2 linked regions of the Coturnix japonica genome follow. The protein of the gene in region 2 purifies or fractionates together with the protein of the main gene of each other region. This does not show direct contact. Links are inferred from orthologs where the notes say so. Each region holds a gene or a part of one and is shown on either strand. Other genes may lie near its edges.

Region 1 (4,298 bases), on a different chromosome or scaffold from region 2:
CTAAATCTGTAACTGGAAAGGATCAATATGGTCCAAGAATGAGTTTTTACACTGTAGCTGCTAAGGCAGCAGTCACTGAGGGAACATACAAATACAGTAAGGAAAGCCCTTTAGTTTTGGAACTCCATAGGCCATCAAGAACAAGCTAAATAAGAGTTGGGATGATCACACGTAAAGGGATTTATTTTGCATTTTCCCCAGTTATACGGGTTAGTGCAAGGCTGGGCAACTTCAATGTGCTCACAACAGCTCAAGCTTAAACAAGAAAGTTTCAGAAATAGGACAGTCACAGAATTAGAAGTTTGCATAAGTAATGCATATACCACATCAAGAAGAATATGCAACGACCACAAAACACTACAAAAGTAAGGCTTAACTCTAGAAAACGTAGCTCATTCACTTGTCTGAAGTCTAGAGAAAGCCTTTAGGAAACCAAGCTTTAAAAAATTAAAATATATTTTTAAATATTCAAGAGGGACGCTGCCCATGGGAGAGCGGTACACTGTTATTCACAGTGACAGGTCAGCGTTTTGGATGTATTTAGCAGTTAAAAGAATTAAACTATTAATAAAAGTATGTGCACATAACTTAGAGGTGGGGCTTGAATCACAGCTTCAGCAGTAAAAAAAAAGAAAGGCATTTATTTTTAAACATTCAGCCATAAACAGTATGAACAAAGAAGGCTTCCAAAATATGGAACCGTGTCATTTCCTGATGGCAGGACTAGAGGTTCCCAAGGAACTTATTAGAGGCAGCAGACAAAACTTGATCTTCTCAGGATCTATTTTTACTGGTTGGAAAAGTAGTGATAGTAGGGAAAGCTAATGGAAAAGAAGTTCACATTGCTCTGAAAAAAGAATCATCTGAGAGTCCCAGTTCCAGCCTCTTTCTAAGTCCAGAGTAGACAGGAAATAAAGAAGCAATCCTCTCATCCAGCAACGACCCAGCAGCTTTCTGACAAGATCTAATATAGCAAGCATCCTTTCAGAACAGTATTCTACAGGTCTTGATTAGGACCTCTCCCAGCAAACATATTCAGAATAGCACCCTTGAATAAACACACACACAACTCCAAAGAGCAGTTGATGGGTCAGTTTGATAGTCCTGGAACTATGTTTTTTCTACTACCCCAAGCAAAGGTTTTGTATTAAGTCTCCCCTTCTGTTGTGAGAAACTCAGTAACATCACAGCTTCATACATCAGCCATATGACAAGGTGCTTTCTTTACCTGAGACTGAAATTAGCTGCAACCCACCCTAGATTTCCCTAGCTGACCAAAACAGAATACAACAACAGACAACAAAAACCATCTTGCATACAATCATTTTCTACACCATCTCAAGGCAAAAGATGAAAGAATAGCAGCAAGAAACAGGGCAGCTGTTCCATGGCTACTCCATAAATGGTCTGCATCTCTCTCAGGTATTCATAAACCAAGAGTTTCTTTACGCTGCAAGTCAGACACGTTTCGATGGACAATAAAAGCAGTAACTGCAGTATACTAGTACTATCAGCTGGTCTTGTCATTCGGACATAGTGAGGAGGCATGAATTCAAGATGCACAAAGACTCTGCCTTCTCACAAACGTGGGTGGGAGGAAAGGACGAAGCACTAACACCGAAGGCACAGCCACAGGTTCCTCTCCAGCATCTTTCTTTACAGATGAAGGAGGGCAGATCTAGAATAAACGGATGTGATACACTCAAGTACCCAAGTGAAGTGCATCCTTAGTCCTATGACCTCACAGCTTAATGGAACACGCACTAATACGAACTTCTGTGCTCATCATAATCAACTGGGTGAAACTGGGAGAAAACCTTTTAAGACTTCCCACTTTGGATCTAATTTTAATAGGAGCTGTACGGGATGTTAAGCTCAGGTGTTGAAGGTCTAAAGAAACTCCCTTAGGCCCATATACCCCCTGCTACCGACACAGACTAGAAAGGATAAGAGAGAGATTAGTCCTTCGAGCGCTCATCTCACACAGAAGAATACACGGAGCAACACGATGGGAAAGCATTGGGTTTTTTTTTTCCTAGTAGACATCCTGGGAGAGAAATAAGTGACCAACTTGAAACTCCCACACCTCCTCTACAGGACGTGGGAATGCTGCTCTAACAAGAGACCAACGAGACGAATAGGTGAGGAAATAACACCCCATTCCTCTCCTCAAACCCCTCGATCCTCTAAAGAAGAGGAACGCGGCAAGAGCTGCCCTTCAGAAGCTCACATTGCCCTGTGCATAAAGAAAAGCCGATCGGAGGCCTCTCCTGGAGGGCACACGCACGGCAATCAGCCTCTCCCAGCCTCTCCATCGCCACGTCCCCGCTCCCACCCACCCCCACCCCCTCAACCAGCCCGTCCTACACCGCTCCACGTTCCCTTGAGGCAGCCCCGCAACCCGGCTCGGTTCCTCGGGGCTCCGGGTGGGCTCAGCTCGGAAGGGAACACAGGGAGAGCCCGGCCGCCGTCACCCTTCGAGTACTCACAGTCCAGGTGCTTCTTCTTGGGCCCCATAACCTCGTGTGTCGTGGCCTTGCAGACGGTTTTAGAGACCGCCGAGCCGGTCACGCTGTGCTGAGCCGCCGTGATGCGGTCGGTGAGGCTTTGGCCGGACATGGCGGTGGTGGTGGAAGAGAGCGAGGCTCCGCTCCTTCCTCAGGGGCCGGGACGGGAGGACTAAAAGCCGGGGGATGGAACCGAACGGATTCCTGGCCCCGCCGCGCCTCAGGCGGCCCCCGCTCCGCCCTCAGGGACGGACCTGTCACCCGAGCAGGGACCCCTCCTCCTCCTCCCACCCCCCTCCCCCAGCCGCCGCCGTCCCCTCCCCCTCGCTCCTTCCGCTCGGCCGGGGACAGGGGACACACACTGGGAGCCGCAGGAAAATGGCGGCAGCGCGGCTCCTCCTCGGAGCTTTCCGGGCGCTCCGCATCACGTGAATCCCCGGCGCCCCGCCTACGTGACACGCCCCAATCCCCCCCCCCCTCTTCTCTTTCCCTACTGCGGACGAGACCCGGTCGGTCACAGAATCACAGAATGACCCGGGTTGGAAGGGACCTCAAGGATCATGTAGTTCCAACCCCCCTGCCTGGCAGGGCCACCAAACATACACCTTTACTACATCAGGTTGCCCAGGGCCCCGTCCAACCTGGTCTTAAACACCTCCAAGGACGGGGCATCCACAACCTCCCTGGGCAGCCTGTTCCAGGGCCTAACCACTCTCCTAGTGAAGAACTTCCCCCTAACATCCAACCTAAATCTTCCCTCTTTTAACTTAAAACCATTTCCCCTAGTCCTGCTATTATCAGCCCTTTCAAAGAGTTTACTCCCCTCCTGGGAGTAAGTTCCCTTCAGGTATTGAAAGGCTGCAATGAGGTCACCCCGCAACCTTCTCTTCTCTAGGCTGAACAAACCCAACTCCCTCAGCCTGTTCTCATAGGGGAGGTGCTCCAGCCCCCTGATCATCTTCCTGTCCCTCCTCTGGACCCTTTCCAAAATCTCCATGTCTTTTTTGTACTGAGGGCTCCACACCTGGACACAGTACAACAGATGGGGCCTCACAAGAGCCGAGTAGAGAGGGACAATCACCTCCCTATCCCTGCTGACCACCCCTCTCCTGATGGAGCCCAGGATCCCATTTGCTTTCCAGGCTGCCAGAGCACACTGCTGGCTCATGTTGAGTCTTTCATCCATCAGGACCCCCAGGTCCTTCTCTGCCGAGCTGCTCTCAAGGACCACTCCTCCCAGCCTGTACAGGTGCCTGGGGTTCTTCCAGCCCAAGTGCAAAACCTTGCACTTTGCCATGTTGAACCTCATTAGGTTCACCTGAGCCCAGCTTTCCAGCCTGTCAAGGGTCACGTGGTTCTGGCTGCCCTCAGCGCGGGTGTGGCGGTTGGGGGCTGCTGCCCTCAGGAGGGAGGGACGGCCACCAGCTTTGGGTCGTATCTGTGAGGAGATAGATATAGATCCGCTGTGGGGTCAGCAGAGTGACGCTTGAAAGCTCTCAAATTGACTTCTTAAGTGAATGACAGTTGGGGGTTGGAACTACATGATCCTTGAGATCCCTTCCAACCCGGGTCATTCTGTGATCCTGTGATTCTGTGACAGTGTTTTTATTCAGGTCTTTCAACGATCAGCCTCCCTCCGTTTTACTCTTCAGCTTAATGCTGCTCTGGGCTCTGGGATTTACCCAGCTGCTCTGCCCTTGACTTAAGGGATTTTTGGTGCCAAGTTGCTTCACGTTCCATAAAAGTTAGCCAAGCCGTTCCCTCAGGTGCCTCCCAGGGCCCTGAGGAGGA
Region 2 (4,255 bases):
CCTGCACCACCTGAATGGCTGAGGGAAAGGATACGGCGTGCATGTTTCTCCTTCACTGGAGCCTCCTGCGTGTTGATGGCTTTGCTGATGCTGATGGCCTGCGGGAGGAGGACAGTGGTGTCAGCAGCACTGTGACCCCTGGGACCCTCCTCCCCTCCATCCCAGCACTGCCAGCTGGGAGCAACCCGAGTGCTGGGGGGCTTTTGGAAAACGTTCTGCATTTTCCATTTGGCAAATGTTTGGGACTGCAGAATTAGGCTTTTTGATGCAGAACAAAGCAGCCGGGGCCGGGCTGCCCTCAGAGCCCTGGATGTCCCCTCTGTCCCATTGAACAAGTGGCACTTTGCAGCCTGAGCTCAGCAATGTGCCCTGCCGGCGGCAACGCACAGTGCGATGCCACATTCCTGGGCTGTTTGTGCAATCACAAGGAGCCTTTGAACTGGGGTGTTTTTACACAGCTTTGAAGGCGTCCCTGCGTGAGAACAGAGAAATGGGAAGGGAAAACAGCCCCCCAGAGGGAGCAGCAGCTGCGATGCCACAACCCAGAGCAGAGCGGTTCACAGGGGAGTGCCTTTATCAAGAGGATTACCTGTATACTGATGTACTGAATTGCACCCTAAAATGAAGGTTTTTATACCAAAAATAGGGCCTGGCTGCTACTCCCAGCTCTAAATCTGAGCTGCTGAGACCACGAGGACCTCCCTTCACTTCTTCACCTTTGCACAAGCGCTGGGGCTGTGCCCACAGCTGTGAGCCCTTTGTGCAGCAAAAAGCATTGGGCCAGAAGGGCAGGAAGCAGCCAGGCTGCCGGTGCTCGTGCCGGAAGAAAAACACAGTCCCTCCCTGCACACAGGCTGTAAAACCTCATGGAGCCTGAGCTACGAGCAGCACACAGGGCACCGGCTTTGTGTCAATAGGGCAGGAGGAACCCAAAGCAGCACAGCGCCACTGAGTGCCAGCCAGGAGCAGGAACCTGCCATATAGAGCTGGTCCAACATGTGGATCTTCGTCCCCAGCAGCGTTTTGGGGTGAGCAGCCCCAGGACTCGGATACAGGCTCAGTTCATGTCACTGCTTCCCAGCACAAGGAGTTAAATGGAGGTGGTGGTGCCCCACATGGCACTGCATCCCCTGTGGCAGCAGGTGGTGATTTTGCTTCTCATGCACTGGGGGAAGCCCTGGCGTTACCCTGCCATGTGGGTCAGTATAGCAGCAGTGGAGTTAAGCCCCATTGACTTGGCGTAATCCTCTTAACTTGAAGGTTAATGAGACTGAAGTGCCTGGAAAAAGGCACTGGCACGAGGGGCAGCAGGGCTGAGCCATCTGCTGGGCACGGCAGCAACAGAGAATTCATCCCAAATCACCAGTGGGAGCCCCATGGGGCCGGGGCAGAGCAAACCCCATCCCACATCCTCACTGCTCAGCACCACAGACTGGGACCTGCCCCAAAACCTACGATCCCCATTGGGATTTCATTGTGTTTATTGCCCGTGAACCTGCCCAGCCAAAACACAGCCCAGAAGCTCCAGAGGGTGCCTTCCTAGGGGGTGATTCAGTGCTGAGGTTTGATCTGAGCCACTTCACATCCACAGTGGGAGGTGTCATATCCAACATGAGTCCCACTGATCTGGGTGGCACCAAACCAATGCCAGCATCCAAACCCCAAGGCAAGAGGATCCCCCCAAAAACAGGTCAGAGATGGGGACATCCAGGTGTTGAGCACCACCAACCAGGCCGAAACCTTCACGCAGCTGCAGATGGTTTCCCCAGCACCACCCCAGTGCTGATGGCTGCAGGTCAGACCCCGAAACCTGCGGGTTACAAAACCACCACGGGTGCAGCCCTGAGCACCTTACTCACAGCCCCAGCGTACCGAGCCGGTGACGAAACCTGGATCAAAGCGTCCAAAGGAAGGAGTGCGGGTTACATCCACCCCTCCTTTCCAGGCTGCTTTAATTACAGCACCATCCTCTCCGCCCACGGCTCCCCCCGGCCCCAGGAGGTGCTCCAGCCCTGGGATCAGTTTTGGGGCCCTGCTCCAAATGCACAACAGCAAATCTGGGTCTCTTTTGATCTGAGGACTCCACAGCTGGACCACAAGTGCACCGCTCAGCATCCATGTGTGCTGTATGCCTGGAGGATGCTGAGCACGTTGGGTCTGAACGCTCCAGCAGACACAACCCCAACCCTTCTGGTAGAAGTAGCCAAGAAAAGCAAAAGTTGGGCACCAAAAGCACAAGTTTTGCCTCTAATGACACTGCAGAGCACAGCGGGGCCTCCTCACCTGCAGGGCAGATGCTGACACCGCAATGTGACCCCAAAAAGCATTTGGAGGCAAATCACATCACAGCCATCGAATGGTTCAGATCAAAGCTCACTCTATACTGCAAACACCGGCTCAGTGCGGGGCAGCGATACCACACGGCAGCGCTGGGAAGGTTCCGCTTAGCACGGAGCTCTTTTAGGACACCGTGGCCCCATAACGCGGCTCTGCTGCTTCGGGAGAAGTAAAGCCAGGACGGACGGACGGACGGACGGACAGAGGGGCCTCCCCGCACCGCGGTTACTTCCTGGCGCTGCCCGGAGGGACGGGACGGGGCGGCTGGAGGAGCCGCGTCCCGTAGGAACCGGAATGGCCGGTTTATTCGTGCAGCTGCTGCTCCCCGAACCCAACATCGCCGCTTCCCACCCGGCACCGCGGCCTCTCGCTGCCCCGACCGGTCACCGGCCGCTCGGATGCGGCAACCGACGGGACGGGGACGGATGGGCAGCGCCGTGGGGCAGCGGGGCCGAGTACCATCCACCACCGGGCCCCGTGGGCTGCCCCACCAACCCCCTCACCTGGTTCTTATCGAACTGCTCCCTCTCCGCCTCCAGGCTGTGCCCGGCCCGCCGGCTCAGGACCCGTGCGGGGACGCTCTTGATGCTGTTCATGGCTGCGCAGCTCGCACCGCGCACACCGGGCACACACCGACACGGCGCCGCCCGCGGCTCCTCCCGGCCGCGCTCCGCAGCGCCCCCTGCCGGCAGCGCCCGCCCCCTGCAGGCTCCATCCCCGCGGTACCGGGGGACGCTGCCCGCTCCGATCCGCCTTCCCTCGGCTCAGCCACCCCCTCACCGCGGTGAGATGAACGGCAGCTTTGTTTTGTTCAATAATAACTCCGGAGGAAGGGCACAATAGCGGAGTGATTCCCTGGGGGGGGGTTGTAATGCTTCCAGAAATCAGCCGGCCCAGCTCCACGCACACGTGGGTTGTAAGTCACTTAATGACAGAGTAAATTAACCCCAGAGATTGGGTTGGAACTACATGATCCTTGAGGTCCCTTCCAACCCGGGTCATTCTGTCATTCTGTCATTCTGTGATCCGCTCCTTCCACCTTCAAAGCCCCCACGTGCCCCGAGCAGCTCTGAGCAGAGCCAGGAGCTCTGCAGACTGACCAAAAAGCAGAGAGAGAAGGTGAACAAAGCACCGAGCAGTCAGTGACCTCAGGGATATAACGCGTGCTATAGAGTGAAAACCTTCCCTGTTTGTCTCACTTGATCTCTGTGCCCTTTGGCCACCTCCGGAGCCACAGCTCACCAGCAGCGCACACGCTTTGCTGCCCCTTTCTCCTGTTGCTTTCCCCCTTTATGTGGCTCCTGGGCTCTCCCCGACTCAATCTCCCTATAAAGATAAAACACGGGTACGGTTGTGCCATTTCTTTCTCACTCGAGGCCAATGAGATGATTCCTGTAGTCTGAGCGTGTGCTCAGCGCGGTGCTGTGTCAGCGTGGTGCTCCGTCAGCGCTGCTCAGCACTTTGAGGGATTTGCTCCTGAATTCAGCCATCAGTGGTTTCAGGATGCAAGTCACAGCGCTGCTTTCCATCTACAAAACCTGCTTCTTTTGGCCTGGAGCCCATCTCTGGAGGGAAAGATCTCCACACAGGAGTATTAAAGCAAAGGAAGGGACACCGTTCTGGCTACTCAGCATCCATTTCCTCTGAGAGCCCCATTAATGTGCCCTAAGCAAACCCAGCTTCTTTTGAAAGAAGACAGAGTCTCTGGACTGGATGCGATGCTGAGCTGCAGCACCAGCAGCAGAGCAGGGCTGTAAGCTAACACTGCTCCCAGGGGCACAAAGGGGAAGCAGCCAGCACAGGGCATGCAGTCTGAGTGCAGCAGCAGCTCCTCACTGCACTGATGTGGCTCAAAAGCCTCCCTGTGTACCCACTTCCCTGGTAGATTGCCTTTTTTGTTAGTTTTCCCCTCATTGTC

Evidence for each region.
Region 1: the proteins of HIP1R (region 2) and PICALM fractionate together in Homo sapiens (co-fractionation; 3 studies listed by BioGRID and IntAct, with this or other methods). This does not show direct contact. The link is inferred for Coturnix japonica from reciprocal best matches to the Homo sapiens genes HIP1R and PICALM.

The regions. Positions count from the first base shown.
Region 1 is NC_029516.1:170,349,738-170,354,035, forward strand, and holds the start of PICALM (phosphatidylinositol-binding clathrin assembly protein), read right to left. Parts: upstream 2,903-4,298; 5' UTR 2,620-2,902; coding exon 2,490-2,619; intron 1-2,489. UniProt on the Homo sapiens protein: Cytoplasmic adapter protein that plays a critical role in clathrin-mediated endocytosis which is important in processes such as internalization of cell receptors, synaptic transmission or removal of apoptotic cells.
Region 2 is NC_029530.1:4,498,301-4,502,555, forward strand, and holds the start of HIP1R (huntingtin-interacting protein 1-related protein), read right to left. Parts: upstream 3,016-4,255; 5' UTR 2,934-3,015; coding exon 2,841-2,933; intron 99-2,840; coding exon 35-98; intron 1-34. UniProt on the Homo sapiens protein: Component of clathrin-coated pits and vesicles, that may link the endocytic machinery to the actin cytoskeleton. Binds 3-phosphoinositides (via ENTH domain).